Caenorhabditis elegans: one gene and its partners. The protein of the gene in region 1 purifies or fractionates together with the protein of each later gene. This does not show direct contact. Each region holds a gene or a part of one and is shown in the gene's direction. Other genes may lie near its edges.

Region 1 (11,844 bases):
GATACGCCGAGACTGGGGGCGCTTCTCCTCGCCTCTTCACTCGCCCAACTCGCGCCCGAACTTTTAACTCATGTGAACCTTGTGTTGTATTGTGTTCATATTTTATTTGCATAAAAATCAGTAACGTGAAATTAAAATTAAATAATGCGGTTCAAGAATCTAAAAAAAAACACGAACGTATTAACTGACTTAGGATTGAGATCATCCTCGGTTTTGTTAATTTCATTTGCTCCGATTTTCATGAGATTTGTTGCATGACGTATTCATGCAGCTATTTTCTTGTTTTTCCCTTCAAACTGCTAATTTTTTTTTAAATTCAATCAGAAATTTTTGCAATAGGTTCGCTATTTTTGAATCGGAATTTTTGTCCCTTTTCAAAATTAATTGTGTATTTTTCTTTTTCTTTTTTTTTGATAGATACAAATTTTCAAATAGTAGTTTTCTAGTTTGCGGGCATATATTTTCCAAAATCAGAAGCTTGTAGGAACTTGTATGATTCATGATTTGTTGTGACCTTGGTCTATAATTCATGAATAATATTATTATTATTTTGTTCTTGTTCTGCCATAATAATCACATTTCCCAAACACTTGATTTTTCAAAATCCTTTTTTGTGCTCAATCGTAATTACTGATCCTGCTTTTTCACTCATTTCTCTAATCTTTATATTTCATTTCTCCAAAAAATGTGTCTGAGTCTCTACTATAAACCATTAATCTCTCACTATTCTTTTTCTTTTCGTTTCTCTCTTCAATGCCATTGAAGCGGGGAAAAACCGACGACGACACACACCACACACACACAAACAACACATTGCATAGGCTATATCAAAAAATTATTAAAAATGTTCTTTTTTTTTTGATTCTTATAAAATATTTGTGATTCTTTCCCATGTAAAATTCCGTTTGAACTTAATTAGTGTTATCTAAAATGGTCTCTGATCTTTGATAGTGTCTCTTCAAAAAGAGGGTTGTACGGCAAATGTTCTCTTTTCGATATGGTTGTTTTAGATAAAAAATTAATATAATGTAGAATAATATTTAGTCAATTTGAACACAATTCTTGTTTTGATTGAATTTTTTTAAAAGTATCTAAAGACTGAAAGTTAGTCACTGCTGAAAAAATGGGTCAAAGTTTTGGCAAGTTTCGGTAGTTGGGCTCTATTTCAAACAAAATTTAGGATTATTTCCAGAGAGTTTTCGAATTTTTCAAATTGCTTTTGCTTTCATAAGTTTGCTTATTGCAGAGAAATCAGCAATTTTGTAGATTTTCCGCACACCCTAAATATCAGGTTCGACAAATTTTAAATGTTCTATTTTCAGCAACACGTTTGGATCAATTCTTCATCTCTCATTTGAACAAAAAATTTATTTTTCATCCTAAAATCTAATTTCAACAAAATAACTATCGTTTTTTTCCTTCCAGATGAATTACTAATTTCACTCTAGTTTTTGCAGAATTTTTGCACTTTCAGTTAATTCATTCATATTAAATTGATCTCTATAATTGCAAATGTCATTTTCTAATCATAATCCCATTAATTTCTGAAACTTGATTACGTAGAATGCATAAACTTTAAGTTGGCAGTCCAAATACACATGCAAATGTAAATTCGACCCTTTCTCGCCCATCTGCATTTTTCATTTGAGGTCATTTTACTTTTGTGACCAACTTTGTGTTCTCTGTGGTCTTTTACTCTTTTTTCGTGATGATAATTATAGTTATAGCAAAAAAAACAATTATTGTGACAAGCTGTGTCCAACGTTTTTCATAAATGTTCCTATAACTTTTGCTCCTGGGGTTCGGAAAGTAATCAAATATTTTTAAATATGATTTGTGTGTGAACTCTAGAAAACTTTTAAATTATGCTGTCAGATGCAGAATTTTCATTGACTAGCAAAAACACAAGTCGAATGCAAACTTGATTTTAACTCTAAAAAATAGTATGAAGAATTTTTTCTATTCACTTTTCCATCGTGGGTGCAAAACGGCAAAACAACCAAGATGTGGGCGGAACCATTACACCCTTTTAAAAAATAAAACTAATTTTGGTGAATATTTTAAAATAGATTCGAAAATATTTTGAAAAATACAAAACATTAAAAGATAAATGTATTACTTTTCTGAAAAAATTCCGATGAAAACAACTAATGAACTTGTTTTCATTTTGAGCTTTTCAGTTTCAAGTATTAAGATTTGAAATTCCTAGTTTTAATTTCTGGCCAGTGAACTTTTCTTTCATATTTCGTTTGATGTTTAGTGTATCACTGGTTTTTTTGCAAAATGTTTATTTCTAATTGATTTGAGTTTCTTTAAAAGCAGAAGTGATTAATTTAGGTTATTTTAAAAGCTTCAAGATATTTATTCTTAATATTTATCGCTAGAAACTAAATTTATACAGGCCCCATCATTCCTCTCGTTAATATTTTGTTGATTAGCTTGGTTAGTTTTCTCTTCGTTAGACGAATTCCCCAAATCTAGGTACCTAGAAGCAGTAGAAGTGTTGTTTTGATATTTCCTGTTTATATCTTCCATTTCTCTTACTTCTCACTCTTCTCATTCCTCTAACTTCTGCTTGTTGTGTTCTTGTGTTCCATTTGATTCTGCTCTTGCTCACCGGAGCCACGGCAGCAAATGCAACAAAAGAAAGGAAGAAAAAACGAAGCACACACGCAAAACACATGGCATATTTTCACTTTTGCATCGTTGTCTCTTTCTCTTTCCTTCTTCATCTTCCTTCTTCTTGCTTATGGCTCATGACACCACACCACTTGTGCTCTCTTGGCAGGAAAGCCTGAGCTCACAACTTCTTCAAGTTTTCAGAATATTGTTGGATGGAGAGAAAAGGGAAAGGGGATTTCTGAAAATGATCGGAGGTGAATAGAGTTGGTCAACAAATCTTTCTTTCTCTAGAAGACTTTTCATTTTGTTTTTTATTCTGTTTGCTATGTTGTCCTCTTTTTTGTGCTGTGCTTCTTCTTTTTCTTCCTCTCCTTCTTGTTCTCAACCTTCCAAGCGGTAATGGATTTCTCGTTTTCATTTCCTTTTCTGCAAGATTCATGTGATAATTTCTGTTTTTCCATGTCTCTTTTTTTCGCAGTCTTCATTCCAAATTTTGTATAATCTTCTGATTTCTTTTATTAAAGCCTAAGATCTCAAAACTTAAAACTCAAGATCTTCCTAATGACTTTGTCTTGTGAAATTCTATTATTTGTCATCATTCTCTTGATACTCAGTTATTAGAACTCTTATAGTTAGCCAATTTGTGAGTCATCCTCTAAACATGAATAAATTTGAAAATATTGTCATAATTTCGAAGTTTTCATGGATTTATTTAGATTAATCTTTTAAAGATTGAAAATATTTTGACAAGCTCCTTTAAGTTCGAATTTCAGAAGAATGCAAAATTACTTTTTTTTTGGAAAATTAAACAACTACTAGATTTAGTTTTGAAAACTAATATGTAAATTATTAGATCTGCAAAAATTGAGTTTGTTTTTTCAATATTTTGTTTTCACTCTATTCTCTTCTGCTCAGTCGATTTCACTTATAACCTTGTTATGCCTACGTGCATATTTGCAAAACCTCATTTCGTGCAATTTTTATTTTTCAGGTGATTAAACCCGAAGAACACAAAAAATAGGCAGAAGGCATACATATATAGAAAAAATGGAAGATATATTGATGCCTGAAGGAGAGAAAGTTTCCATGGAGAACTTTGCTCTCCTCAGAGTTCTTGGAAAAGGAGCATATGGAAAAGTATTCCTTGTGCGAAAAGTTGGTGGAAAGGATCATAATACTATATATGCTATGAAAGTGTTGAGAAAGACCAGAGTGAGTTATTTTTGGAAAAGAAATGAATTTAAAAATAATAATTTCTCATTTATACGGTGCTGAACCTTTGTATTATTATTTGTTTTTTCATCTCTCGCCAAGAGCGAAAAAACCGACAATTGCCGGAATTCATATTCTTGAAATGGTTTTGAACTTTTCGAAACAAATAACTGGATTGAAAAATTTTTGAGAGATGGGAAAGTGAGGTGAAATAAAGTTTATAGATTAGTATTTTAATATGAAACGAAAAAAAAACAAATTTGATTGCAGGTGCTCACAAAACAAAAAACCCTGGAGCACACAATGGCAGAGCGTCAAGTACTTGAACGTCTACGTGGAACACCATTTCTTGTCAATTTGTTCTATGCTTTCCAAACTGATACCAAATTGCACATTGTAATGGAATATGTGAGAGGAGGAGAATTATTCACACATCTTTGCTCGAGAGGTCATTTTGATTTAGAAGCTGCTAGATTTGTAATTGCTGAACTTGTGGTTGCAATTGATAGTCTTCATCAAAGAAAAGTTATTTATCGAGATTTGAAGCTTGAGAATATTTTATTGGACGAAGAAGGACACGTTAAGTTGACAGATTTTGGATTAAGTAAATTGTTTCTACCCGGAGAGTTGGATAGAGCCAATTCATATTGTGGAACTATTGAATATATGTGAGTTTTGAAATTTCCAGCCAAAGTTTAGGCACACTGCCAAACGTATTTGGAATTAAAAAAAAAAAGAACTTATCAAACCTCAGAATTATTTGCATGTCAATAATTTAAACATGATTAGAATATACAATTCGTAGTTTTTGATGTAGTTCCAAAATTAGGATTAACAAAAACTGGGTAATTGCTACTTTTTGGTTGTATATTAAAAGGTATCATTTTTTGTTGAAAATTATTGATCATTGATATTTGATTATTGAGCTATTGAATTTTTTCATTGAGATTTTCATATAATTCTTTACAAACGAAAATTGGCACAGACGGCTGTGTAAAAGTAATTTCTGAATAGATAAGAAATAAATTCTCAAGTTTAATGATTCCAGGTCGCCAGAAGTAATCAATCGCCCTGAAGGAGGATACAGTGATGTTGTCGATTGGTGGTCTTTGGGTGTAATTTCATTTGAATTGCTCACTGGATGCTCACCATTTACTGTAGATGGAGCACAAAACTCTAGTAAAGATATTGCCAAGTAAATCATTTCCTCATTTTCTTTATAATTTCTTCGAGTTTTAGACGAATTATGACAAAGAAGGTCCCTTTCCCAAAAACTATGGATGTTGATGCTCGCGATTTCATCGGCCAATTGTTGGAAAAGAAACTTGAAAAACGTCTCGGATACAATGGAGTTGATGAAATTAAAAATCATAAATTTATGTCAAGTATTGACTGGGATGCAGCTGTTAAGCGTACATTGAAGCCAGTGATTGTTCCAAGAATTGGACATGATTTGGATACACAGTTCTTCTCAGCTGAATTCACTTCTCAGCCACCATTATATTCTCCTGCAGAGTCACCATTAAATGCTAATACTCTGTTTAGAGTGAGTTTTTTCTTAACTTGGCAGGCACCGATTGCCGGATTTTGAGCCGAATTCCGAAATATGTTTGACAAAAATAAATTTCCAGAAGAAATTATGTGATTACAGGGATACTCATATGTCTCCCCATCTGTTATATTTGCCAATGACAATGTTATCGGTGAAGAACTAATGGCTGAAGATGTCAATGCACTTCTCGCGAGTTCTTCATTTTTTGCCAAGTACAAACTAGACAAGTCGGACGCTGGTCTTTTAGGAAAAGGAGCTTTTTCGGTGGTCAGGTAAATTTTTATATTTTCATCAACATTTCATGTGCTGGAACTATTTTCTAGATTCGAAAATCTCGAAAAAGTTCAACAAAACGTTATTTTTACATAGTTTTAAAGATAAAATATACAAATTCAGACGATGCGAACGCGTAGTTGACGGAGCCCAGTTTGCAGTCAAAATCGTATCACAAAAGTTCGCAAGTCAGGCTCAACGTGAAGCACGAATTCTTGAAATGGTTCAAGGACATCCGAATATTGTTCAACTTCATGATGTACATTCGGATCCTCTTCATTTTTATCTCGTCATGGAGATTCTGACTGGAAATGAGCTGCTCGAGAGAATTCGAAAATTGGAACGATTTACAGAGGTTAGAATTCTTTTAAGCATTTCTTTAATTCGGAGTTACTCTGAAAATTAAATTTTTAGAGTGAAGCAGCAGACATCATGCGGCAGTTGGTATCAGCTGTGAAATATCTTCATGATAAAAGAATTGTTCATCGAGATTTGAAACCAGAGGTGAGTTTCAATGATCAGATTATGTTAAGTGGCTGCAAAATAATACAAAACATAAGAATAAAATACTTCCAAAAAGTGAAACAAATTAATAATTAAAGGTGGAGTATACTCGAGTAGTTAGAAAATTATGACGCAATTTTTAAAAAAACGGGCACAGTTATTCTTATTCCAGAATATTCTATTTGAAAGTATCGATTCAAGTGCCCGCCTTCGTCTAGTCGATTTTGGATTTGCACGTCTACTTCCAAATTCAATGGAACAACAACTGAAGTCTGTTCAAGTTCTGCGCAAGATGTACGGTCTCATCGCACACAATCATTCACTCCACTCGGAGTAACATTTAGTCTAGTCAAAAGTTATTGTGTTTTGTCTTTTTTCACTCATTATTGGGCATATTTTTGTTTTTTTTTCTTAACTGGGAGCATGTGTCTCAAGCTGAAAATTTAAAAGAACAAATGTTCGAAAAAAGTTACTTTTGGTAGAGAGGAAGACGGTGGTGTGTGATGTTTCGTGCATTCTTGTTACAGATTATCTTCTTTTTCTATCCTTTTAAACCTTTCTTTTCACTTATCTCTACTAAGGGTTTCTTTCTTGATTTCAGAGATTTTTGAAGAAACACACTCATTCTCTGACTCTCACTTGATTTTCAAGACAAAGCTGTTTACTAACAATTCACAAACACTCACATTAAGTTTCTCAAATTTTCTGTAAACTTGAGAGTTAGAGAATGCCCAATTCATCTTTGAATAACGTTTGTTTTCACTAATAGCTTCTATATATTTGCCTAACTCTCACTATGAAATTCTTCAATCATAATTACAGGACCCCCTGCTTCACACTACAGTATGCTGCTCCAGAAGTTTTAGATGTTGGAGATTCTCAACCAGAATACAACGAACAATGTGATTTATGGTCACTTGGAGTTGTACTGGTTAGTTGTATAATTTTGTAATAATTTAATGTTTCAAAAATCGAAGTAAAAATTTTGAGAAAAAACAAAAAGACCCCTCAAATTTAAGAAACGATTGATAATCGATAAAAATCACGAAATGGAAGCATGCAACTACAGTACCACATCGTGAAAAATTTTTTGGACGCATTGAGAACCCTGGTTATTAGAAATTCATAAGAAATATTTTAAATTGTGTGGCACATTTTCTACGAATAAATTTTTCAGTTCACAATGCTATCGGGTCAAGTTCCATTCCATGCACGTTCTCGTCAAGAATCGGCAACTGAAATAATGCAGAGAATTTGTAGAGCAGAATTCTCATTCACAGGAGACGCATGGACAAACGTGTCAGCAGATGCTAAGAATTTAATAACCGGTCTTCTTACTGTGGATCCAAAGAAACGTCTTTCAATGCAAGAGCTTACAGCTCATATGTGGCTCAAGTCTTCGGCTTCAATGGATACACCACTTCAAACTCCTAGTATTCTGCCATCATCAGCAGGTAGTTAAACTGATGTTATTGAAAATTGAATAACCTAATCTTTTGACTTTTCAGATGAAACATTCAATGAGACACTGCGCGCATTCCTCCACGCTAATCGTGATGGATTCCATCTTCTCGATGTTGCTGCTGCTCCTCTCATGAAACGACGCGGAATCAAAAGACAATCTGGGGACAAGGATGCTTCTGGAAACTCGAAAAAGTGAGTTCAAGAACCCTAATATTTGAAACTCCTCCAATTTGGGGTACGGTTTCAAAGTGCACAAGAAACACCACATTTGACGACATTTCTCTAAAATTTTATTTTTTAGTTTTTAAGTTTGCAAATAATTGTAAATTCCTTATTTTATACTATTTAGAACGTCTATTCAAATATTATATTTATGAAATTATTAATAATAATTATTTTCTAAAAAAATATGATACTTCTAATTTTGATCGCATTGTGAACATTTTCGTTTCTGAAAATATACTTTCATTTTCAACAATTTATGTCATTTTCCAGTTCGCGAGTTACCCAATTCGAGTGTCTTCCGGAAGAACAAGAAGCAGAGATGACATCATCAACATCCCGTCCAAGCAATTTGGGAATGATGAACTATCGAGAACCAAATTCTGGAACAATCCGAGAAACTCGTGGCTCAGACTCCTCCTAGACCTTTTTCTTTGTTTCTTTTAATTTTTCTTCCTTTCTGTTCCTGTTTCTCTCACTGTTTGCGTTGTGATTCTTTCGTCCTAGATGCTTTCTAGTCTGTACTCTCTCATTATTCTCACTATTTTACAAATTTTCCGTCACCTGACACTTGTGGCATTGCCTTCTCTATGAGTACAGTTGCTGAAATGTTCATTGAACCTGTAGTGATTGTCATTTGTTAGATATTTCGCATTTCTAGTCAATCCTCTACCAATTTTGAAAAATATTGTGATTCGTGCATTTCATTTTATGTTATTATATCTAGTCTCATGTAAATTTCTAATTTTTTATAATCATTTTGTTAGATACACATATCTTTATTCATCCACCTATCCCCATGTAATCTTTTCATTGTCTCCAGTGACTCCCTGAACTCTTGAACCATTTCCAGAAATTCTTCCATGTTTTGCGATGAGCATGATTGACTTGCCAATCGACTTTTTGAAAGATTAATAAAATTAAGTAATTCGTTTTACATATTTATTTTGGAGAAGGTTTGAAAGCTCCGAATCATAATATCGATTGAAGCATCAACGTGAAAACCTGATGTAATGTGAGAAAATAAAATATGGAAGTGAAAGCATTTTAGAGAATATTTTTAGCGATAAGAGCTTGGTGAAGACGGTGAAGTGGCAAACCAACCACATTCGGCATACATCCTTCGATTCCACGAACGAAGACAGCGCCAAAGTCACCGATTCCATATGAACCTGCTTTTTTCCTGAAATTTCGATTTACTAGGTCAGTTATTCGTGTTTTTTTATTGGAGTTTTCAAATGTCGTGATGAAAATGATGAAAAACGTGATGAAAATTTTAAAAATCCCTCAAGTTTTGCAGCTCTTTCAAATACTCATAAAATGTTCAAAATTTCTTGACCGCCAATTTTTCTTTCATTTTTATGACTTTAGATAAGAAATTCAATTCCAAAAATTTTGATAACTTTCAATCAATAAATATTTCCATAACTTTTTTTTGCTAAAAAAAACTAACAATGGCTCTCCGCTTTTTACATATTCGTCGATAACTCTATCAGGAATATCTCCAAAATGAACAATTGTTTTCTCGATGATCTCTTCATATTGATCAGTTTCATGATAGTGTAGAGCCATTCCAGTATATACATTATGAGTATTGTTACGAAGTCTGAAATTAATTTATACAATTATGATGTTGAAAATTTAATTACCTTTTCAAAGTTTCTTTAGCGTCATTGGCATCTGTTGGTTTTCCAATAATTTCTCCATTGAATTCGATTACTGTATCACACGCAATAATAACAGAGTACGGCTCCTTAATAATTCATATATTAATATAATATCTCAGTTTTTATAATTTCAATTTTAGATTTTAAAAATATGGTAGCAGGTCTCGATATGCTGCAGCACTCTGAAATTTTGCGCAAAAAGTTTTAGGTCGCGTCGAGAAATGTTGCCGTATTTTTTTTGTTGAATTCCGATTTGTTTTTCAACTAATAACTATATTCTCAAGTTACTGAAAAAATAACTATACCTCTTTTCTTTTCATTTCTTCCACAATAGTCGTCAATTTTCCTTTAGCTGTTTCAATGACAAACTGCTTAACTGGCAATGTTTTTGGTAGATTTTCCTCGAAATTTGAAACTTTTACGATTACATTTTCCAATCCCTGAAACCGAAATAAATCTTTCTTTTTGTAGATTCTCATTTTCTCACAATTTGCTGCAACAATTTGAGTCGATTTGGTGACTGACTTGCCAATACAATAATGGCTTCTTTCATTCCGAACTTGCCGTCGTGGGCGAAACACGTGGATCTGAAATTTCGATCGGCTCTTGTGCTCAGTCAATTATTCACAAAAAGTTGGGGACATCCGGATGTAATTAAACAGTACGTTTTGTTTTAATTGAGAAATTGAGAAACTAATAGATAATTAATTATTGTTATTATTATTTTAGAATGGCAAAATATCGCAGAGATGTCATGTCAAAGAGGCTTGTGATGGATTATGTGAAAGAACTTAATCCCAAAATCGACATTGTGAAGGTAAATTTTAATTTCTCAAAAACATTTTTCAATAATAAATAATTCTCAGAAATATTCAAAAAATGGCGTAACTTCATACGAGGGATTTTTCGCAAGTCCTCATGCCACTCTCTTTCCCAATCATATGCCAGGAAACGTCGGTCGAGCACATTTCAGAGCATATCTTCCTCAGAAACCAGGCCCCGTATGCATACATTTGGCAGGCACCGGAGATCACTCTTATTTTAGGTAAGAAAATTGAAAATTTATTTTAAAAAATACGGTACCTGGTCTCGGCACGACAAATTTTTTTGTACTTTAAAACTCGCTGCAGAGTTTTTAACTTACAGTTTCCTTTAAAGGCGCACACCTTTTTGCATTTAACAAAATTCATCGTGTCGAGACCGGATACCGTATTTTTGTCACAAAGATCGAAAAAGTTTGCGTCTGAATAATACATATTTAATCTAAAAAGAGAAAAAAACTCAAAAACTGAGATAAAAAGTATCGCATCTTACATAGATGCATAAATCGAATAATGATTCTTATCAGAGACCACAAAAATTTCGAAAAAATGCAAAAAAATCAAAACTGGTATCATAGATCACTATTATTTCAGACGTCACTATCTTCTTGTTGATGACATGCTTAAGGATGGTGTGGGATCTATTTTAATTCAAAATCCATTTTATGGAGATCGAAAACCACCGAATCAATTCCGTTCTTCTCTTGAAAATGTGACGGATCTTTTTGTGATGGGTGCCGCTTTAATTGCAGAATGTAATCATCTTTTCAATTGGTCTGAGACACTTGGATATGGTCCATTTGCAATTTCTGGTGTCTCGATGGGTGGATTTATGGCTCAACTTGCTGGATCAAATTCGCAACGTCCAATATCAATAGTTCCTATTCTTGCATGGACGACAGCATCACCATCATATACGGAAGGAGCTATTTCTCCAGCTGTTAATTATTCTTTACTGCAGAAACAGCTCGAAGATCCTCACTATGTTGATAAAATCCGAAGAATTCCGAATCAAAATTGGCTGGATAAAATGCGAGAGATGACTGCGAGAAACGGTGATTCAGAAGCCAAGAATATGATGAGAATTTTGATGGATGACTTCACAAGTCTTGAATTCTATCCAACACCAATAGACACATCACTATGCCATGTATTCTTGGCTGATCAGGATCAATATGTACTGCGAAATCAAGGGACACCAACATATCAACAATTATGGCCTAATGTAACTGTTGAAATGATGGAAGGATATGGACATGTTACAGCATATCTATCGAAACATGATCTTTGGCGTCGAAGAATAACCGAATTGCTCAGACGGCAACAGCAGAAAACAATTTAAAATAATTTGCATTTTTACTAGAATTTTGATTTTCCGTTTCTTCTTGTGATACTAGAACTCCCATAGCCAAATTTGAGATTGTCTCTATTTTGACATTACCGGTTTCTCTTTCTCAGTGTGCCTTTTCATAAAATAGAACTATGTCGGTAATGAACATTTTTCAAC
Region 2 (8,561 bases), on another chromosome or scaffold:
TTCTAGGCCACGACCAATATTTCGTAATAAGTGACCGAATTTTTGAGTTTTCTACGCCATGACGGTCAACAAAGACGTTATTTTATAAAGTTCAGCAATGGCCGAATTTTTCACCCGGATTTTCTAGGCCATGACCAATATGCCATAATTAATGGCCGAGTTTTTAGGGTTTCTAGGCCATTTCAAAAAATTCAACAGTGGCCGAGTTTTTCAACTAGATTTTCTAGGCCACGACCCAAATTTTCAAAAATAATGATGTGAAAAAGCGCATAAAATACTTTAAAAAATGAAAATAAAATGTAATATTTCAGAAAACATGCCGCCTCCAGCAGCCACTATTACGGAAAAATCGGATCCATTTGATTTTTCTTCACTTGAAATGCCCGAAATTCACGAAAAAGCCGAAACAGTATACGAGGCTGAAGGATATTACGGAGAATCCGATGATTTACCATTGGATTTACGTCGAACGAAAAGTGAATCCGATCTTGTCGATCGAATCATTTGGCCGTTGGTTCGGGTGAGAGTTTTCGAGCAAATTTTGATTGAAAATTCGGAATCTCCGTAATATTTTGGCTTGGGAACCGGAAAACTAGAAGTTTCTAGCTTGATTTTGGATTTCGCTGGTTTACGGTAGCTTGGGAAGTACGCAATCAGTGTGTTTCCGTTTTCTTCAGGCTACCGTAATCCAGGAATTTCTTATTTTGAGCTAGTGACTTTTAGTTTCTTTTTTTCGAAATAAAAATTAAAAAATTTGCGGTTAAAAATCGGAAAATCTGAAAAAATCGATAAAACTTTGTTGATTGGATTTATCAACAAAAAAATTTATTTTTTTTAAGGAAAAAAGTTTACAAAAATTGTTAAAAATTAGAGTTTTTTTCCCAACAAATTTCGGAAAAAATGTCAAAAAAAAAAAATAAAAAACATTTTTTGCAAATTGGGAAAATTCTAGATTTAAGTATTAAGAAAACGATTTTAAAGAGAAAAATATTTCCGATAAATCGAAAAAAAAAACACAAAAGTAATTTTAAAAAATCATTTTTTTTTAATTTCAAAAAATTGAGAACTCTTCGATTTTTTTTTTGTGAAAAAACCCAAGAAAAAAACCGATATAGTTTTTAAAAATATAATCTTTTTTCCCGAAAAAAACAATAATTTTTTCCGTTTTTTTTGTTGCAAAATCCAAAAAAAAATTCAAAAAAAAAACGGAAACAAATTCCAGAGCGCCCTTCAAAATTTCATACGCCGTGAGGATTGCCATCAAATGCACCTGGAGCACAATTATTCTTCTCTCTACCAAACTCACGACTCGGATGAGGAAAATCAACCGGTGGTGGAGGTGGAGAAACTGATTACCTATGAAGAATACCAAGAAAATCTTTATTCCGCAGAATTTGCATCTCCACAGACTCCACCGCCAATTCCACCACCTCCCGCCGTCTACTATGACAATTTCTCGGATGCTCCTCGAAAACGCGGTCGACCAGTTGGATCAAGAAATCGGAAGGAGGGAGACACCACAATTCCGAAGCAGCAGAGAAAACGGAATCCACAACCGGTTGGACGTGGCCGTGGCCGTGGTGGTGGACGGCCACGTGGTAGTCGATCTAGCAGAGGATCAATGGATGATGGAGGAGGATCAAGACGGCACTCGACAGCATCAGATGCTAACGAATCTGCGGAATTGTTGAACCAACCTGTGACGAAACAGCTGAGAGATGAGATTAAAGAAATAAAACTGAAATACACGAAAATGATGATGGATCGGGGTTTCGAGCAGGCGAAGGACGAGTATTTTAGGTTCGAATCCCGGAATTTCAGAATTTCCCGCAAAAAACTAGATGAATTTAGTTCAATTTTGCACTATTCCGGTTACTGTAGCCTCGAAAACTGATTATGGCCGAATTTTCCCATTTTCTAGGCCATGGCAGCATATTTTGGCCAATTTTAATATAGTGGCTGAGTTCTAGATTTTTCTAGGCCATGGCTGCAAAAACTTGGCCAAATTGAGCAGTGGCCGATGTTTTCAACTGGATTGCCTAGGCCACGGCCCACAGTTTTCGAAATGTTGTGTATTTTAAGTTCGAATTCCGAATTTTCAGAATTTCCGACAAATAAAAAAATTGATGAATTTAGCTCAATTTTGCACTATTCCGGTTACTGTAGCTTTGAAAATACGCAAACACTGATGATGGCCGAGTTTTCTCATTTTCTAGGCCATCCTAATTCAAAAAAAGTTTTAAAAAAATTGATGGCCCATGTTATATTTCTAGAAAGCAAATCCACTTTTTTTTTTTAATTTTGAGTCCTAGGCCATGTTTGTCAAAACTGCTCCAATTTCAAAAATTCAATAGTTGCCGAATTTTTCCATAAGGTTTTCTAGGCCACGATCAGAATTTTGTGAATGGTGGCCGGGGTTTTGAGTTTCCTTAAATTCCTTTTTAAAATTTTCAGTGGCTGAGGTTTTTCTAGGCCACGTTTTTTCTTTGTAATCCAGTAATTCCAGGGGCCGAGTTTTTCTTTTGCAGTTTCTAGGCCACGATAGTAACTTTGAAAGCACCTTTAATTAATTTTTTAAAACAGAAAAACAGTGAAAAATTAGCATTTATAATTTCTAGACCATGGCCGAGCTTTTTCCTTGATTTCTAGGCCATTTTTATTTATATTTATGAATTTTCAGAAATCGTGACGCAGCACTCAGCAAATGGACGCCTGAACAATGGAAAGAGCACAATGAGCAATGTGTGGCAGCCCGTCTCTCGTCTCTAATCCCATACGATCAACGATATTTCCTACCGACTCAACGGGTCCTGGCACGATTGGATCTCGAGGATGGCGATCTACGACTGCCGGCGGTGCATCTTCCAATTGCCATTCAAAGATGTGTCACAAAACTCGGCACCGCCCATGATTGCCACGTACGATGTGATAAATTGACGGGCGATGCGTGGTGCTCGGTGCTTGCAGATTATCATTGTGATATTGTTCGCGATTATTATTCGGATAATTTTTATATTTCGACACTCGGCACTGAAGCGGTTTTTGTGGATGGACGGGCGGTACGAAGACCGCGGCTGACACCGTTTGAGGCAGCTGAGAAATTGAGAACTCGAGGTATTGGAAATGCCAAGAAATGGGCGGGGATTGGAAACTCCGTCTACAAAATGGATAATAAAAAATTGAGGAGTGCGGAAAATGTGGAAATTTTAATTTTTTTTCCGAAAAATTCCAAAAACTCAATTTTTTTGGTGAAAAATACTAAAAAAATCTACAATTTTTAGGGTTTTTAAGGCATATTAAAATCAATTTTTTCTGAGAAAATTCTGAAAATCCGAATTTTTTGATTTTATTTGTTTTAATGCAAAAATATCTACAATTTCTAGGCTTTTTTTCCAAATTAAATTATTTTTCCTGATAAAATTCTGAAATTCCGAATTTTTTTGATTTTTTTTCAATTTTCCTTTAAAAAAATGCCAAAAAATCTACAATTTTTAGGTTTTTTTTCTGATAAAATTCTAAAAAATTACGAATTTTTGGGATATTCTTCATAAAAAGGATCCATTACTTATTGAAAAAAATTTAATTTTTGCAGGTTCCTCAACAATCATCCCTCCACATATCAAATGTCGATGCCAAAAACATTCTGATCTACAAATTTCGCGCCAAGAGAGCACCGGTGAACTCGTTCGCTGTGGAATCCTGAAACTGGAGCACGGAGCACGTATTCAAATTGGCTGTGTCGCGTTCATCTTCTCTAGGATCTAATTATGTGATCTCTTACCTCTTTTTTTCTGTCCGTGAATATCACGTATTTTGATTTTGAAATTTTTTTATGTGAAATCGTAAAATTTTAATGATTCTTTTGGGTGTTTTTTTTTTTGGAAAAAAAAGATTTTTCCGGCAAACGACACGTACAACAATTGCTGAAATTGAAAATTTCCGGCAAATTCGGCAAACCGGCAAGTTGCCGAACTGCAATTGCCACCCATCCCTGTTGTGGGTGACAATCATTTTCCAAAATTTGAAATTGAAATGTTCAAAAAAAAATTGAGCAACGCAGGTTCTACTCCTACAACAGTAGGTGTATGGAATAAAATACTCAGGCAACTCAAATCTAATATGAAAATATTAAATAGCAATATTTTTGTAGTAAATACGAGAAATAGTGCGTCCATATAATATTACTAAAAATTTCGAATAGATTTCGATTGTCTCAAAATATTACAATTTGATCTCAAAATATTGCGAAATATTCTCAAAAGATTGCTCAATCTAAAAAGATTTCGAATAAGTCTCGGAATATTGCGATTTTATCTTGAAATATCACCCAACTACAAAAATATTGCTATTTAATATTTTCATATAAGATTTGAGTTGCCTGAGTATTATCTAAAACTTTGGGAATATCATTATGAGTGGTGTTGCTCTCGCTCTAACAGGATAAAATATCATATTTCCCAGAGTTTTCAATTGGTGTCAGAGTGTCCCATTTCGGTTTGATCTACGAGAAGCGCTGACGTTACGGTTTTCTGTACAAAAATTTGTAGATCAAACCGTAATGGGACAGCCTGACACCACGTGAGTTTGTCCGGTTATGCCCTGCATTTTGCAAATGTTATGATATTTATAATTTTTATAAATAACATTTTTCAATTGTGGAAGACTGTTAGAGTTTCTTCTGCCAAATGTACCTCCAGAATTTTTTATTTAGATGTGGTTAATGTTCATATCTCTGACCCCATGCCTGCCTGTGTATTAGTTGGAGTGGTCAGGACCAGTGTACATCTATAACGTATGTAGTACCCATTATCTTTTTCCTAATCAATAACCTGTTGGTTCACCAAGTCATTCATTTTCTTATTCATTCTTCTTACAACCATGATGAGAGGTTTTCCAATTTTTCGATTACCGCATAAACCACTACGTTTATTGCTGAAAACTATGGAGGTGCAAGATTTGTGAGTGCATTTTTTTCCCAACTGGAAACATAAATATTCTTATAAGTAGAAACAAGTTTTCAGAGTGAGGATATCGTTTTATTCAAAAACTGCCAAACATGCTGTTGAATCGTTGAATATGAAGCTCATATATTTTTATATAACAATTTCTGGGACAATACAATTTGATATCTTCACTTATAATATGGAAGATCTCAATTTGAAATTGTCTGTGACACAATCTGAAGGAAGGAATTTGATTCGAGTGCACGGTGAAAAAGTAATGACAGGAATCAGTTTGCGGGAGTTTATAGATCAAATTCTTACAATATTCCATCAAGCAACTATTCATAAGCTATTTATTAAGCATATCGACTACGATTATCTAGAAGAATTCAATAATTTGAATATTCAACTTTTACACCTCGCGACTAGGAGCTCACTGAAACATTTTGCAAGACGATTCGATTTTCTAACTTTAGAGCAAATTACTTGGGAAACTCGAGATTTCCAGTCACTTGTGGGCCTCAACTTCAAACATTTAGAAACAAGAAGCACTTTTAAACTAGAAGACTTACTCGTTTCAAATACTTCTCAAATACTTATTCATGAACCATTGCCCCTAACAGATCTATGCATATTTCTAAAACATTGGATCAATGGATCAACTGAACGGCTGGAATTATTCCATATGCGTCTTCCTCAAAATTTTCAGAAGGAAGAATTTATTCAGAATGCCTTAAGTGGTATTAAATACAAAAAACTGGACGTCGACCAAAAACTGGAGTTCGAAGCAGCTGTGGATGTATGGAAGGACTCACACAGAGAGGTGAAAAACGAGGGATTTGGAATCCAAAGGAGCGATGGTACCTACGCAATTATTGTTGTGTGTGATGAGTTTGCAACTAACAAGTATTTGAAGATGTTTGTTTGGAAGCCGATTGATTCAAGTATCGGAGATCTCCTTAAAATTGCATCGTTTTAAATGTTAGTTTTGATTTTTTCTTTGTATTTTTGCGCTAAAATACGGTAAATCTTTTGTTTAATGCGAAGAGGTACGCACCTTTAATGAGTACTGTAATTTTAAACTTATTTTTTGCCGCGTGGTTTCCGTTGCTCGAGCCAAAAAAATGCCGAAGTTATTTATTAGAATTTATTCTTGATTTTAATCGATAAATATATATTATTTACCACAAACCATTTCGACTTTGATCAAAGCTTTGATTTAAATATATTTAATCTTAAATTTCCCGCTGCAAACGCGCTCGCTGACACGGCGCAGAGATAAGAGGGCGCCAGAGAAGTTTTGAGAGAAATCATTTTTTTGAATTTTATTTTCAATGTTTCCTGAATTTCAGCTCAATTAAAGCGGAAAATGTTTATTTTTGCAGAGTATCTACGTGGTCACAAGAGGAAACTTGTACAAAATTAATTTAAATGTTAAACATCTATTTTAAAATGATTTATTATTTATTTTTCTGTTGAATAAATTGAATAAACTTAAATCTTGAATTTAAATCGTGAAATTTAAATCGTTTTGTAATTCTGGTTGCCAATTTACCAGTTCATTTCTATTTTATTAACAATTTCCGCACAGATCATCAGTTTCCCTTCCAGGAATCCCAAAAAATGGACAGATATTACGGTAGCCACGTGGCAAATTCAAGTTTTGACTCATTTATGCAATCTGTGGATCCATTTGAGCCAACACCGAAACGAAGATCCACTGGAGAGGTAATTATGCGAAAAAATCCGGAAAAGCTCGAACTTCAGAGGTTTTTCCAGCTTTTCAAGGAGAATTCTTGAGAAATTGGAAAAAACATAGAAAAACTGGCAGAGTTTGCTCAAATTTTTGTATATAAATGACTGCCTTTGTCAATTTTTGCAGAATATTGTTGAAAATCGAACAATTTCATCAAAACATTGCTGAAAATACAGAAAACCTGAAAATTTCAATGTTTTTCGAGTTTTATGCAGAAAAATGCGATAATTTTCGCCTGAAACTCGTTTTTTTTCAAAAAATCTTTTAGAAAATTGAAGTTTTGAGTATGCTAAAACAATAAATCAATTTTTCCAAAAATTTGCGCGTCAAATATGGTGTATTAAGTACGCAATTAGAAGTTGTGCAAACACCACTAATATTACACCATATTTTACGCGCAAATGTGAATATTTTGTCTTAAAATTGCAGTTTTTGAAAAAAAAAAAGGTTTTTTTTTCAATTTTCTCAAAATTTCAGTCGGACAGCATCGCCCGAGCCATCAGAAATGCTTTGGATCCCGAGCTACAGTACCCCCAGCCATCAATCGATATTTTTGGACCGTCTACATCAAATTTTGGAAATTATGAAGAAAATGATGAATCAATTCTGGCAATAGTATCCTCAACACATTCTTCACAAGAATTGAGCACAACAACGGATAGGGAAAAACCGCCGAAAAAAGTGAAAAAAGAGAAGAAAATTGGAGAAAAATTCCCGATTTTCAACTCCAAACCGGCGCATCAGCCGATTATGGATGATTTTTTATCACCTGATGATATCGAGGTGATTAATGGGATTTTTTCTATAAAATCCCGGAATTTAAGATAAAAATCTAGAAAAAAAGTTTTCCATTGAAAATTAGAGTTTTGACTTATAAAAAAATCGCGACGAGACCCATTTGAACAAAATGCGTGCGCCTTTAAATTTAAACTCTGATTTTGAAAATTCATTAAAATTTGAATTTTAAAAATTTTTCGGAAAAAATTGCATCAAACTTTTGATATTCATTCATTTTTTCTTAAAATTGGTTGAAAAAACTCAAAAAATTCTTAATTTTTCAAATTTTCAAGTTTTCTGATTTAAAATTTTTCTTTACGTTAAAAAAATTAAAATAAACTATAAAAAATGCTTCAAATTCTTTGAAAAAAAAAATCAAAAAAAAGACCGATTTTTCTTGAAAAATCCAATTCCTAAAAACCTTCTTGCTACAAATTCTGCAAAAATTCAAAACTCACAGAATTTACAGAGAAAATAAAAGCTCAAAAAATTCGTATTTTTAGCAGAAATTCAAAGTTCTAAACAATTTTGCGCGTCAATAAAATTGGATTTGAAAAAAATTAACCTGAAACTTGTAAAAAAATTATTTAAAAAAAATTTTTTAAAAAATCGCTCAATTTTAATATTTTTTGTTGAAACAATATGGCTAAAATTTCTAATATTTAGAGCAAATTATCAAAACGGTCCAAATCTCATAAAAAGTTTCTGAAAAATTCCAAATTTTCTGTATTTCCAGCGCTACCGTAACCGTCCCCGGAAACCATACGTAAAACAAATTCGAATGGACGATTATCTATTCAAAGCCCGTCGAATTGATAAAGGATCACGAGAATTTGGATTACACACAACACACGAACCAAAACGTGGAAGCAAGAAAAAACGGGATTCGATTGAAAGTCTTGAAGTTGAAAATATTCAGAAACCATCGAAAAAGCACAATGAGCAACATCAAAAGAAGCCTGAGCAACTCGATTTCACACTGGCATTCACTACGCCGAGTCCGGCAAGAAATCGCCAAAAAACTTCGAAATTGACAAAGTTTTTCGAGAAAAATCCATCGAAAACTTCTAATCGAGGTGAATATT
Region 3 (12,399 bases), on another chromosome or scaffold:
GGCATACTCATTTTTTGTGTTTTGTTGGCGATTTTATCAAGGTTAACAACTCAATTATTTAAGGTAGGTTTTAGTATGCGTTACTGGCTCCTAAAAAATGTTGCATTTAGTAATCAATTTTTGAGAAAAATGATCGACTTGGAGTCCCAATTAGAGAGAGAGAAAATATAGCAGACCAAATAAAATTTGAGAAACATGGAAAGTTGTGGAAGAAATTTTAATATACTGGTGTGCAACCTTTCCAGTAGCTGCTGTGCAGTTTTCCAAAAATTCCTCTATTTTCTATTATTATTGTACAGTTCGAATAACTAGTCTGATTTCTGAATATATAAAAGTTGTCCTAAATCGAAATGTTCTTTGAACTCCCCCCTATCACAAACATGGTTTCCAAAATCTTTGATTCGCCGGAAGAGAGCAACTCTCTCTTAATGCACAACACAAAAAGTTGTTGCACAACACGCTGCACATGCTTCCCCGTGTCTAACAACGGCGGTAAAGCCTTCCTCTATGAGTCAATGATATGCTTTTGCCGCGCGGCAAGCTGTGTGGCCACCGGCAACGTCAAACAACCTCTGAAGACGATATGAGTGTAAAAGTGGCGAGAGTGTAAGAGCACACGCCAAATTATGTTTGTGCATTCTTTTTTGTTGTGTTGTAGAGTGATGATGAAAACGAAAAAAGATGAAGAATGAGGAATAAGCGTTGCTTAACGGAATGTTTGAGTATGCTGACCATTTGATTTTAGAGATAAAAGACGGGAAAATGCGGTAGCAAATGTGAATGAGCATGTTGCTCAGTGATCTTCAGGAATGACAAAGTAAAATCTAAGCTTGGCATTTAAAGAATACATATCATCAATTTATAGTCAAATGGTTGCTGAAACATGAAAAGAAACATTGGAAAAAATTAGCTTTTCTTTTTTTTAACGTGATTTTCAAGTAAAAAAATTGTTGAAGTTCCTTTTTTTCAAAAATTTTTTCTTATACATATATACTTTCGATAAGCGTAGAAATATATATAAAGTTAAAATAAAAAAGCAAAATATTCGAATACCCGCGTAAAATAATTTTAGGGTACAAATCAAGTTTACCTTTTTGGTGGCAAATTTTTCAGTGTCAATTTTTGAGCACCTAACCTACGATTTACCCGATTGGCTCTTTTTCTTTAAGAAAAACAAACCACAAAAATATAAATAACTTAAAAACAGTCACATTCAAAGGAACTACTTAAAATCGAAAAACCATGCAATTTTGCACTTTAAAATTTGATTTTTCAAAAATTCTTTGTTAAAAACCAAAAAAATAAGGTCGAAGGAAAATGGGATCAAAAAACGCTTCAGTTCAATTGACGAAATTGACAAAAACCATTCCACTTTTTTGAATGGTTTAGGCTCTTCAAAGAGGCAAATGGTGAAAACTATGTGTAAAACAGAAATTTCAAATTTTTAGGAGAAACAATTTGTTTAATGAATGAAGTTATTTCATTGTTGGAAGCATGAGTTTCTGATAATTAGCGTCAGTGGGGATCTTTTCCAAATGCACCAATAATGATATAAAATAACCATATTAAAACACTCCAAAAGTTTTTAGATTAAAAAAAAACTTCCAGTCAGTCAAAGAAGTTTTGGCTAGTTGCCAAATTTTGGAAAACCTTTTAAGAAAATCCAGAGCAATGTCGCAAGAGTCTACCCTTATAATGTTTTAAATCAACTAAATAGAATACAATTAAAGTATAAAAGTCGTCGAAAAAATAAATTTTTTTTGACCTGCTTCCAAAATTATGAGAGGCAAAAACTCAGTAATTGCAACTTTTTGAGAGTGAATAAAATTTCCAAAAATTTTTTTGGAAAGATTTACTATGATAGTATGCCAACTTCAATATACCCCACACTTCTTTCCGCGATATTAATCACAGACACGTGTCACCTACGTGTAATCACCGATGATCATCCAGTAGTGCATATGCCAATCACGTCAGAGTTGACGGTCTCTCATGCTCCCATAATGCTTAGCTCGATTCATTTTTCCGTGCCTTCCGGTCATCGTTTACATTGTGTTGTTGCTGCACACTGCTCAACGCCTTGGGGCGGCGCGAAAATGCGGGAGGTGCAGAACCGGAATGATTGGCACTGTATTATAAAAGTACGAGCAATGTTCCGTCGACTTGGGACATTCTCAATTACACCACAATTGAGCGTCATGTGGAAGTACGCGGTTGTCTTTTCTGCTATTTTTCTCATCCGTGAGTAGGCTTTTTCATTTCTAATTCATTTTATTGTTTTTTTTTAATTTTAGATATTGTGGATGCTGGCTTCCAAATTTCACAGCTCAAACCATTGTACAAAGAGGATAATATTACTATCAGTGAGCTTTCCACAGCACTTGGAGCAGCCTTTCCACCATGTTGCTCCGATATCATTTCGAGCATTGCCTGTAGAAGACTTCAACAGCACAATCCTTCGAAGTTCCTAGACAGGTTGGTTTTTTTTTAAACTTCATTAATTGTTTCAAATGCTCTCTGAAATTAAATATGAAGTTCAGATGCGCTACTGACGCTGATTTCTCTTTGATCCAATGTTGTAACACTTGTGGAATGGAAAGCGCTGCCGATAGATACGAGCTCATTTTCCAAGCCGGCCACAAATCCAACCAATGTTTCGACCGCCATGGATCAGAGTTCTGCAAGCGATTTTTGAAGAAGGAGGATGTTTGGGGAAAGGTAGGTGACGCTTTTCTAAATGTTTTCTAGACCACTTTTTTTTTGCAGTCTCAATGGTCTTGCGACGGATCGACTGCACATTTGGCGTTCCGCATTTGCAGAAAAACTTGCAACTTTTGCCGCAGAGATATTTATCGCACACCGCTCGGTCGATTTGAGCCAGTGTCTTGTGGAAAACCACCAGTTCTCATTCCGAACTAAATGTCACACTGGAAACGTAATTTATTCATTCTTATTTTTTAATATTTCTTACTCATTTATTTATTTATCTATTCAATACTTACTAATCTGTTGTAATATATTTTCCTAATTTCATGACGAAAATTAACGAGATCTCGATCGAACCTTTTTAAAATTCCAATTTATTTATTTTAATGATTAATAAAATCTTCACAAAAAAAAAGCTTGGACTTTGAAATTCGTAAAAATGACAATCTTATCAAATGATGGACACTTTTGAGATAGTAAAAAACAGAGTGTAGAGGGCAATCTTATCTCTTCTCTCCATCTTTTTCCATATCGATCTTGTTCGATAACCAGAAAAAGTAGTGTTGTAGATAGTGCGAGCCCCATTCTAGGTCTATTACTCTCTATTTCTCACTATGTGTTCTCGATTTTTTGGCCAAAAACGTTCGTTTTCCAAATTTCTTCAAATTTCTCCACAAGTTAAGGAGGCTCTAGCTAGCGGAGAAGGAGTTGTCGCGCTGGAGAGTACAGTGATCACACATGGACTTCCTTACCCTCATAATTTAAGGTAGTGAATTGCAAATGCATTTGAAACTATTAAAAAATTATTTGCAGTACTGCAAGAAGTTTGGAGCAAAAAGTTCGATCATCAGGAAGTCATCCAGCTACGATTGCGTTATTTGATGGAAAAGTAGGTTTTTTCGCTAGAACTTGTTTCTGAAAATTTAAATTATTAAATGATACTTTTATTGCTGCCACGTTCGTTTTTCTAGCAGACTGCGACATTTTATACCAATATTTTCATATAAAACAATAATATTTTTTTATTCAAAAACTGCCAAAATTAGTGTTTCATCAACTAAAAATTCTTAGGAATTTTTGTGAAAACTTAAACGCTATAAAATTAAAAATCATTTTTTGAAAATTTTAAATAGTGTATACCTAAACATTTTCATTTTATTCAGATTCATGTTGGATTGGATGATGAAAAACTGGAACTTCTTGCTTCAAGTCAGAATGCAGTCAAAGTTTCCTCCAGGGATATCGCAAAGACACTGATTAAAGTAAGTTTGATCTACTATGATAAATTTTTCAATGTTGATTTCAGAAAGAAGTTGGAGGAACTACAGTAGCTTCAACTATGAAGATAGCACACGCAGCTGGGATCAGTGTATTTGCAACAGGTGGCATTGGTGGAGTACATCGTGGTGCAGATCAGAGTGAGTTGTTTCATGTGTTTGGTGTTTTTTTTTTGACCCGTGAAGTTTTAGGAAAATTGTTGAATTTGGACAATTTTTTTTACCATTTATTCAAGTTCTTTTTTTTCCGAACAGCAAAAAAATTTTCCAGCATTCGATGTTTCGGCTGATCTTCAAGAACTTTCGCAAACTCCCGTGTGTGTGGTGTGCTCTGGAGTCAAAAGCATTTTAGACATACCCAAAACTGTCGAATATCTTGAAACTCATTCCGTGAACTGCATAGTTTATGGGCAAGAAAATGTGTTTCCAAGCTTTTTCACTAGAACATCAGATAGAAAAGCTCAATTCTGCACTGAATCATTGGAAGAAGTTGTTCACCTGTTAAGTGAGTTGATGAAAAATATTGGTTCATGAAGTAAAGTCATGAAGTGTTTCAGAAACCTCGAAATCTCTCGGATTACCTTATGGAACTATTCTGGCTTGTCCTATTCCTGAAAAATATGCAGCTGATGGAGATGCGATCCAGAAAGCAATTGACCAAGCTGTTCAAGAAGCCATGTAAGTTAAAATTTAAATATGTTGCACTTTTTAAAAATATTTTTTGAAAAGTTCCCTGTTTTGCTTCAAAACTTTACTTTCAGTGAACAAAACATCGCTTCACAAAGTGTCACCCCATTCATTCTTGCAAGAGTGAACGAGCTCACACAAGGAGCTTCAATGGCTACAAGTATGCGTTTTGAACAATTTTTCCGCTGTTAATTGTCATTTTACAGACATTGCACTTCTCGAGAATAATGCGTCAATTGCTGGAAGACTAGCCGCAAAGCTCTGCGATAGACGTCCACTTACAATTTCACAGAGCCAACCAACTGCATCAACGACTCGAAAACCAAAAGTGGTGAGTCAAACCTACAATAAAGTTTTTTTTATTCACTTGCGAAATGTGGTATTGTTCTCATAAAAGTTTGAAACAACACAAGCTGTCTTAGCAAACAACCAACGCCTACTAGTTTCAATGACATTTATTTGTCAAACGTATCAAACAGATCACGACTGTTTTTCAGGTTTCTATCGGAGCAACTATCGTTGACTTTGAAGCCATCACGAGTGAAGATGTAAAGGTGAGAATGAAACAAAGAACAATTGAAAATGAGCAACAACAAAAAAAATCAGAAAAAAACATTTGGGGAATGGAGTATACCAAAAAAAAAAAAACCAAAAAAAACATGACAATTTAGAAAAGAAAAACTTTTGAAAAACACGTAAAAAATTATGATGAAAGAAACTTAGAGATTTGAGTGGTTTGCGGATTTTAAAGTGATTGAGCCGTGGAAAGTTGTCTGAAGGGGACCTAACGGTTCAGACATGGCACAGAAAAGTAGACACAAGTGAAACCGCCATAAAAAATTATTGAAAAAATTTTGAAAAGTTTCATTACGAAATTCGTTTATTTGAGTTCATTTTATTCGAAATTTGCATTATTAGATCAAAATTGCCCAAACCGTTTAAACTCATTTAAAAACAAAGTTAGAGAAAAATAATATACACTAGGTGAAACACTCTCGACAATTTGCTGCAACTCATCCACCAACTGCTGCAACTTTAGCAATGCCAAGCGAAGAAGTTGCTAAATTTGGGAAAAAGGTTGGATAAAATTGATCAAAGTAGGTAAACTTAGTAGAAAGTGCTTGGCCAAAGTTGTAGATATGTTTCTATAGTTCGTAGAAACGTTGCAAAAGTTGGTGTATAAGTTGTGACAAATTGCCGAACTAGTAAGATTCATCAAAATATTATTTTACCAACAACATCTCTTATACCAACATCACACCCTTGCAAACACTTTCACAAAAACCCCTGAACTGTCGGAATGAAAAAAGGAGAAACTGAACTGAACCCCCAAAAATTAAAACTGTTCAGTAACAGCAGCCGCCTCAAGTTGTCGTGCATTATGAGCAGCAATCGCTTGTTGTAGCTCTTCCCGAATTTCATCCCCACGGACCGTAAATTCGTTCTCCACCTCCTCGATTACAGAGTGCTTCAAGAAAGGTGAATATCCTGGGAAACTTTTAACGCGGCTGATTCCTGATGTTTGGGTTGACGTGCTGTCAGCCAAGTTGATATTGCTCTTGAAGCTCTCGATGTAACCATCTCCATGGCGGTCACTGAAATATAATTGTTGATTATTAATGCTCCTCAAGTCATAGTTATTACTATTCATTAATCATCTGAGAGTAGTATTCAAGTTCCGCCATTTCTGTTTCAACTTTCTCGATATCTTTTCGAAGAGCTGCGATCATGAACAACTTCAGCGGCGTGATCACACAAAAAGCAAGACATCCGACTATTTCTGTATTGGAATGGAGCCATCTGCAAGATTTTTTTGTTCATATAATTTCAGTTTTTCCTGAAAGATATGTTACCTCTTGAGATGAATATAGCAGTCATTGGAATGTCCAGTTGGGCAAAACGATTTTGTAACGTTTAGAAAATCTGAAATACAGAATTTTATGAGGGGAACAACTGTAGAAACTAGATACCTGCACATGTTTGTAACACTTCTTCGGGTGGGCAGCAAATCAAAGTCTGATAGACGTTATCCCAGACAGAGCATAGTTCTTTCTGAAAATTAATAACACGTGTTAAAAAATTACACAATTTATCAAAATTTTGCATGGTGATATTGAAAAATCTGAAAATGTTTTCAGTGTTCTAGTATAATTTTCAGCATTTTTGGACTATAATAAATGTAATTAAAGTTGATCATAATTGCAACCGAATGTATTCAAACTTTTTGAAACAATTTAGCAATAAGAACTGCGCCGGGAGCGGAAAAGTCATGAGATCCCAAATTCCACGTATATGTGCTAAAATGTGTAATCAAGACCATCTGATTTTTTTTGGTCAGAGTGATAGACTAATAATTTGGTAGGCTGAACTAGGCTGAAAACAATGCTGCATAGGTTTTTTGTCAGTGCGAGTTTTCAAATCATTAAAAAGGAGGTCTTGTAGAAATTGGACACACTGTATCAATAATTAGTATTCCTCAATGAGTTTAATAACTCCTATTTTTCCACGTTTTGTTCTGCACAAACTGTACTGGTTTAACTTTAAAAAATCAACCTAACTGTATACTTGGTTTTTCTCCCGGATTTCAAAATCTTGAATACTTACACTGCTATTGTGAAGTACTTGAATGTGGGAATATAGCGAGGTGTGAGCTGTGGACATGATGCTTGCAAAAACGAAAACCATGACAGCATCCACAATAAGTGTACAGCACTTTATCCAATGACAAAAAACGACAACGCCAATTTGTCTTTTCCGAATTGCAACAATTGATGCGATACACAAAAGTGCCTGAAAACAATGGTTTTTGATGATACATAGTGAAACTATTAAGTTCGGAGCTTTGCACTACTCACCAAACAAATATTGATGAAGCAGTATCCAAGAACATATGGATCATTCTTTTTGATAGGAATCAGCACGAATAATGGGCTTGTGAGCATGACAATCGTGGCGCCAAGAAAGAGAAAAACGGCAAGCAGGAGTATCATATTGCTCCCATAAAGCCATGCCGCTTTACCAAACCGCATGCTGAAAACTTGTTATAATTATGGCAAAGTGATTCTGAAAATCAATGATGAAGGTACAAAAAACAGGAACGGGGAAAGATTTTTGAAAAGAAAGACGAACAGGAAAACACACACCTCGCACATGTTTGTTTCTTCTTTCTCTCTCTCTCTACGAGGATTGATTGTGAGAGAAACAGTGCTGATGGCTCGTCTGTATGATTGATGAAAAGTGGGAGGCCAAGACAAAAAAAGAGAAAGAACAAAATAAAATAAATGAAAACTGTGTGGCAGAAGCTTCCGGCACACTGCCAATCGGAGAGCAAGCTTTCTGATTCATTGCTATTTGAACAAAGTATCAATGCGCTACTGTCACACATTTAAGTGATCGCTTCAAAGCACATAATGTTTTTTTTTCTAAAGAATTGAGATTGAGAATTTGATATTGAACTCCAATATATATAATATCCGGTAACACTTAAATGATTTCAGGATGATGGCGGCTCATACAACGGACAAGTGGTACAGCGAATGGGAGGAGTAGCAAGGAATCACGCGGATGCATTAGCAAGGTCAGAAATACTCGTAAATTAGAATGTCATCGCTTGTGCGTCGCGCTAAAAGACGCACCACCACTTTCACTTTTGGCACACAGTTTTCATACATTCACAAGAAATCGAAATGATATGTTTTTCTTCCTGACCATTTTTGTTTTGAATTGAAGAAAAAAAATTGCTAAGAATTTGTAGCGTGGTCAAAGTACAGTGCATATTGGGATAAATAATTGGAATGATGTGAAAATGTAGTGTTCAAATGAGGGGTGGGTAATTGCCGTTCGGCAAATCGGCAAACTTGCCGGAATTGCTCAACTCCGGCAATTTGCTAATTTGCCGTTTGCCGGTATCAGTTTGCCGGAAATTTCTAAAAGGATTTTCGATAAGGCGAAAACACTGAACCGTGCCATTATGAAATGTTTTCCTGTTTTTGAATTATATTCACATATAAATTGCTTACTTTCAAAATAGATGTAGGGTGATCCGTAGGATGCGTACAATTTTGCGGTTCAAAATTTAAATGTGTATAGAGTTAAAGAAAAAATGTGTAAAACCTTAATTTGCCGATAATTTTTGGCCATTGCCGTTTTCTGGCAAATTCGCCGATTTGCCGAATTTGGCAAAAATTTGAAAAACAGCAATCCACCCCCGGTATACTAAACCAAATACAGAAATACAAAATGTCATAAAACTAATCAAGTCCATTTGCATTTATGGACTTGTGGCTTTCATTTTTTGTTCAAACCAAAAGCACAAGCGAGACCTTTTAACTTCTCATCACATCAAGATAGTACAATGTCACTGTAAACTTCAAAGATGACCGACAACACAATACCACCAAACCTGATGCTCAAACGAAAGTAAATGTTGCCGAGGTATTTGTGTGGATCGCAAAAGAGCGAAAAAGTAATTTGAACTCGGTCTCTTTGGAATTCGATTTTTTTCTGCTCTTATTTTGACAAACATCCCAAGATCGTTGTTCAGTTTTGTAATTGTTTTGTGTACGATCAATTGTTTGATTGACTTTTGTCTGATAGTTTTGCACTTCAATTGAACTTTAACTGTATTGCAGGCTTGAGCCACGGCGCGCAAAGTGCTTGATTTGAAAATAGCTTTATCTTAAAATATATTTTTTATTTCAGGCTTGGATGTGATTCAGTTTTCATTTCTGCTATTGGCGATGACAACAACGGACATTTCTTCAGACAGAACAGTCATAAAATTGTAGGAAATTTTTTTGTTGTTTCTCATGGAAATTTTCGTGTCGTTTAGGATATTAATCGAGTAAAGATTATAAGCAACAAACCAACTTGCACTTATTTAGCAGTCAACGTGAAAGGAAACGTGAAATATGGAATTGTTACTTGTGAGCCACTTCTGAGTGTCATTACTCCGTCATTGGTGGGTATAATAGGATACGAGGCAAAAAATAGTTGTTTTTTCAGGTTGAAAGCAATGAAGATGCATTGGAATCATCAGATTTCATTCTTCTTGATTCAAATCTATCAGTTCCAGTTATGGCCAGAGTTTTAGAAATTGCAAAGAAACATGATAAACAAGGTATGGTGACTTACATAGAATTAACAAAAACAGACAAAAATATACAAGGCTTCAGTTTGGCTCGAGCCCACGGACATTGACAAAGTGAAAAAGGTGTTCGACACAGGCTTGGTTGGAGCTGTAACTGCCGCATCGCCAAATGCCAATGAGTTTCTGAAATGGGCTAAACTCTGTCACGTCTCCGTAGATCCGTCGGTCATTGATACAGCCGATGGTGTGCTGGAACTTATAGAAAAGGAGAAAACTAAGCTGCTACTCAATACTTCCATTTTTATTGTGACATTGGCGAATAAGGGATCGGCAGTGGTATATAGGTAGGGTATTTTGCATTTTCTACAAATTGCCAAGCTTGAATTTTAAAACGCAACTATTACTGTTGTGCTGAATAGGGCTTCCTTGCAGACGCGAAACACCTGCCGTGCCCGCCTCGCTAAATGAACAATTTTCCAAAAATTGCCTGAAAAGGTTTTTTGAAAAAAGATATTTGACCATTCCATTCTAAGTGTTCTAAACTAATATGTATAAAATTTATTTTCAGAAATAAACTTGGCCAACTTGAATTCCAATCGCTCCCACCTCCACTTCAAATGAACAAAGTCGTATCGGTTTCCGGTGCCGGTGATAGTTTCAACAGTGGAGTAATTGCTGGATTGGCTCATAACAAAACAGTCGTCGAATCTCTCCAAATTGGACAAGAATGTGCTCGTCTAACTCTTCAAACGTCTCTGGCAATTTCTGATGCGATAACCCCGAATTTATTAGCGTAGACGGGGATGGCGTTATTGTTTTTATTCTGTATTGTTTTTTAGACAATCTATATTCTTCAAATAAATGTTTCTAAAACCCATTTCAAAAAATAATGACGGTTCATATAATTTTGCAGAGAAAGAAATGAATTGAACAACAAGCATATGATTGTGAGATCGGTACATTGAAACAAAATATAACAGGTTTGAGGGGGTATGGCATAAGTCTGGCCTGGACAAAATACTATGATAAGTGAAGTATGACAGTTACCATTAGGTGGGGTTTTGTTAAAGGGAATTTTTGGCTTGTATTATAACACTTTGGTCAGAATAGGGAAAAACGGTTTGAATCACAAGAGCTTTAAGATCGATTTGATATGCGCACCGGCTACTACGGGGATGGTAAGGGCATTATTATGTCATACACAAAACATTTGTAGCCTTTCTAGGTATGCATTGTATAGTGCCAGTCGATATTCTATTTGCTTTTGGTTTTGCGGTGGTTTTTTTGAATTGTTCAAACATGTGTATCTCAAATGATAGAAGATTTAACAAAATATCGTTTTTTTTTAAACAAACTTTTGTCAGTTTTACTACATTTCTGAATTTGTCAAAATCATACATATAACTATGTTCCGGAAAAAAGAAACAGAGCTGGCATCCTGGAGGCATGTTTTTACAAAACAAAGTAAAATACGAAAATTATCTTCATAAAATTATCTACTTCTTGCAAATTTCTATTTTCTCACAAAATGACCAAGAAAAATTATAAAAAAAAATAAACAGGAAGTTCAAATTTTGTATTTCTAATTAACCTATTCAGAAATCAGTTTTCTTCACACTGTGACAAAACGGCATTTTGCAAAATGTAGAAAATTTAAAGGAGGTTATTTTCCTATTAAACTTTGTTTTATGAAATTGCCAAGTGTCTGTCAATTAGCTACTCTAGACAAAAATAACCGACCCGTCGGATGTCACCTGCTTGAACTTTTTCGGAATAGAATTATATCATTTTTACAAAATTAATGATGTAGAAAAAGCAATTCGAAATATTTTTTCAGTTAAAAATATTTTCCTAGCTATTATAGTATTGGAGTAATACGTGTTTTTTCAACTTGGGTAAATCACCAAAAAACCAAATTCAAAGATAATATTGACCGGCACTGTAGGTAACATTATGAGTTGTGAATTTTGGAATTATGCCTTATTATTGTTGATATCATCAATATATGATACAGTCACTTATAACTGCATTCCGCCGGAGCTTCTTCAATTTTCACTTGACACTGAAAGATTTTTGACGTTTTTTTGCTGTTATAATTGCATCTATTCTTCTACTCACTTTGTTCTCCTTCTCGTACTCCGTATGTGCTAACTGAATGGCATCCGTGACGTCGATCGTGGAACAGAGGGTCGCAATAAGTGAGTCTTTATGCGATTGTCGCTCTTCTTCAACGACATAGCTGGCTTTTAGCAGTTCCGGCGCCGTTTTCTCGTCCAACTCGACGTTTGATTGCAGTTGGTCCCTCCATTCAATCATTGTCTCGCGGTATTTGTATAGCAGAGTCTGAATATAATATTAATAGTCTTGAAAAAATAAGTGAGAAATGTTACATGAATTTTATCCACGTGTCTTTCAGCGTCAACGAAGAAGTGCTCTCCAGGCGTTTCTGCAATTTCGTGTGCAGCACGATTTCGCTGCCTCTCGATTGCATTCAGCCTGAAATTGAAATTGAATCAATTTTAAAAAAAGTGAATCTCATTAAATTACCAGTCAGTTGCTTCTACACCTCCGGGAGCTTCAAATTGCAGCTGCATAGTCTCACAGACAATCGTTATGATGTTTTTGTTGTCAACATTCACA

What was found.
Region 2: the proteins of rskn-2 (region 1) and fbxb-87 fractionate together in Caenorhabditis elegans (co-fractionation; one large-scale study listed by BioGRID). This does not show direct contact.
Region 3: the proteins of rskn-2 (region 1) and T24C12.3 fractionate together in Caenorhabditis elegans (co-fractionation; one large-scale study listed by BioGRID). This does not show direct contact.

Annotation. Positions count from the first base shown.
Region 1 is NC_003279.8:8,010,799-8,022,642, forward strand, and holds rskn-2 (Ribosomal protein S6 kinase), read left to right. Parts: upstream 1-3,611; 5' UTR 3,612-3,669; coding exon 3,670-3,834; intron 3,835-4,104; coding exon 4,105-4,502; intron 4,503-4,882; coding exon 4,883-5,029; intron 5,030-5,073; coding exon 5,074-5,380; intron 5,381-5,485; coding exon 5,486-5,658; intron 5,659-5,782; coding exon 5,783-6,014; intron 6,015-6,073; coding exon 6,074-6,163; intron 6,164-6,335; coding exon 6,336-6,457; intron 6,458-6,985; coding exon 6,986-7,094; intron 7,095-7,340; coding exon 7,341-7,620; intron 7,621-7,671; coding exon 7,672-7,819; intron 7,820-8,122; coding exon 8,123-8,273; 3' UTR 8,274-8,782; downstream 8,783-11,844. Other genes in the region: dod-18 (Nucleotide PPase), read right to left, coding at 8,897-9,032, 9,303-9,455, 9,499-9,602, 9,822-9,956, 10,004-10,069; C54G4.7 (AB hydrolase-1 domain-containing protein), read left to right, coding at 10,056-10,177, 10,246-10,333, 10,383-10,561, 10,932-11,679. UniProt on the Caenorhabditis elegans protein: Serine/threonine kinase that may play a role in mediating the mitogen- and stress-induced effects on transcription. May repress transcription via phosphorylation of 'Ser-1' of histone H2A. May phosphorylate histone H3.
Region 2 is NC_003281.10:10,889,811-10,898,371, forward strand, and holds fbxb-87 (F-box domain-containing protein), read left to right. Parts: upstream 1-4,709; 5' UTR 4,710-4,878; coding exon 4,879-4,958; intron 4,959-5,021; coding exon 5,022-5,922; 3' UTR 5,923-5,924; intron 5,925-6,328; 3' UTR 6,329-6,446; downstream 6,447-8,561. Other genes in the region: athp-1 (PHD-type domain-containing protein), read left to right, coding at 312-520, 1,223-1,800, 2,681-3,114, 3,593-3,765; com-1 (DNA endonuclease activator Ctp1 C-terminal domain-containing protein), read left to right, coding at 6,618-6,671, 7,177-7,482, 8,213-8,552.
Region 3 is NC_003284.9:2,194,761-2,207,159, reverse strand, and holds T24C12.3 (Carbohydrate kinase PfkB domain-containing protein), read left to right. Parts: upstream 1-3,266; 5' UTR 3,267-3,320; coding exon 3,321-3,472; intron 3,473-3,519; coding exon 3,520-3,595; intron 3,596-3,869; coding exon 3,870-3,968; intron 3,969-4,012; coding exon 4,013-4,124; intron 4,125-4,254; coding exon 4,255-4,488; intron 4,489-4,540; coding exon 4,541-4,661; intron 4,662-4,744; coding exon 4,745-4,830; intron 4,831-4,876; coding exon 4,877-5,001; intron 5,002-5,167; coding exon 5,168-5,224; intron 5,225-6,006; coding exon of another isoform or gene 6,007-6,265; intron 6,266-6,314; coding exon of another isoform or gene 6,315-6,470; intron 6,471-6,523; coding exon of another isoform or gene 6,524-6,593; intron 6,594-6,640; coding exon of another isoform or gene 6,641-6,722; intron 6,723-7,274; coding exon of another isoform or gene 7,275-7,460; intron 7,461-7,525; coding exon of another isoform or gene 7,526-7,699; exon of another isoform or gene 7,700-7,720; intron 7,721-8,167; coding exon 8,168-8,247; intron 8,248-9,371; coding exon 9,372-9,453; intron 9,454-9,501; coding exon 9,502-9,630; intron 9,631-9,674; coding exon 9,675-9,789; and 6 more. Other genes in the region: T24C12.4 (ShKT domain-containing protein), read left to right, coding at 2,199-2,241, 2,295-2,475, 2,541-2,718, 2,767-2,919; T24C12.1 (Tetraspanin family protein), read right to left, coding at 6,007-6,265, 6,315-6,470, 6,524-6,593, 6,641-6,722, 7,275-7,460, 7,526-7,699; gap-1 (GTPase Activating Protein family), read right to left, coding at 11,774-11,821, 11,878-12,102, 12,150-12,255, 12,307-12,399.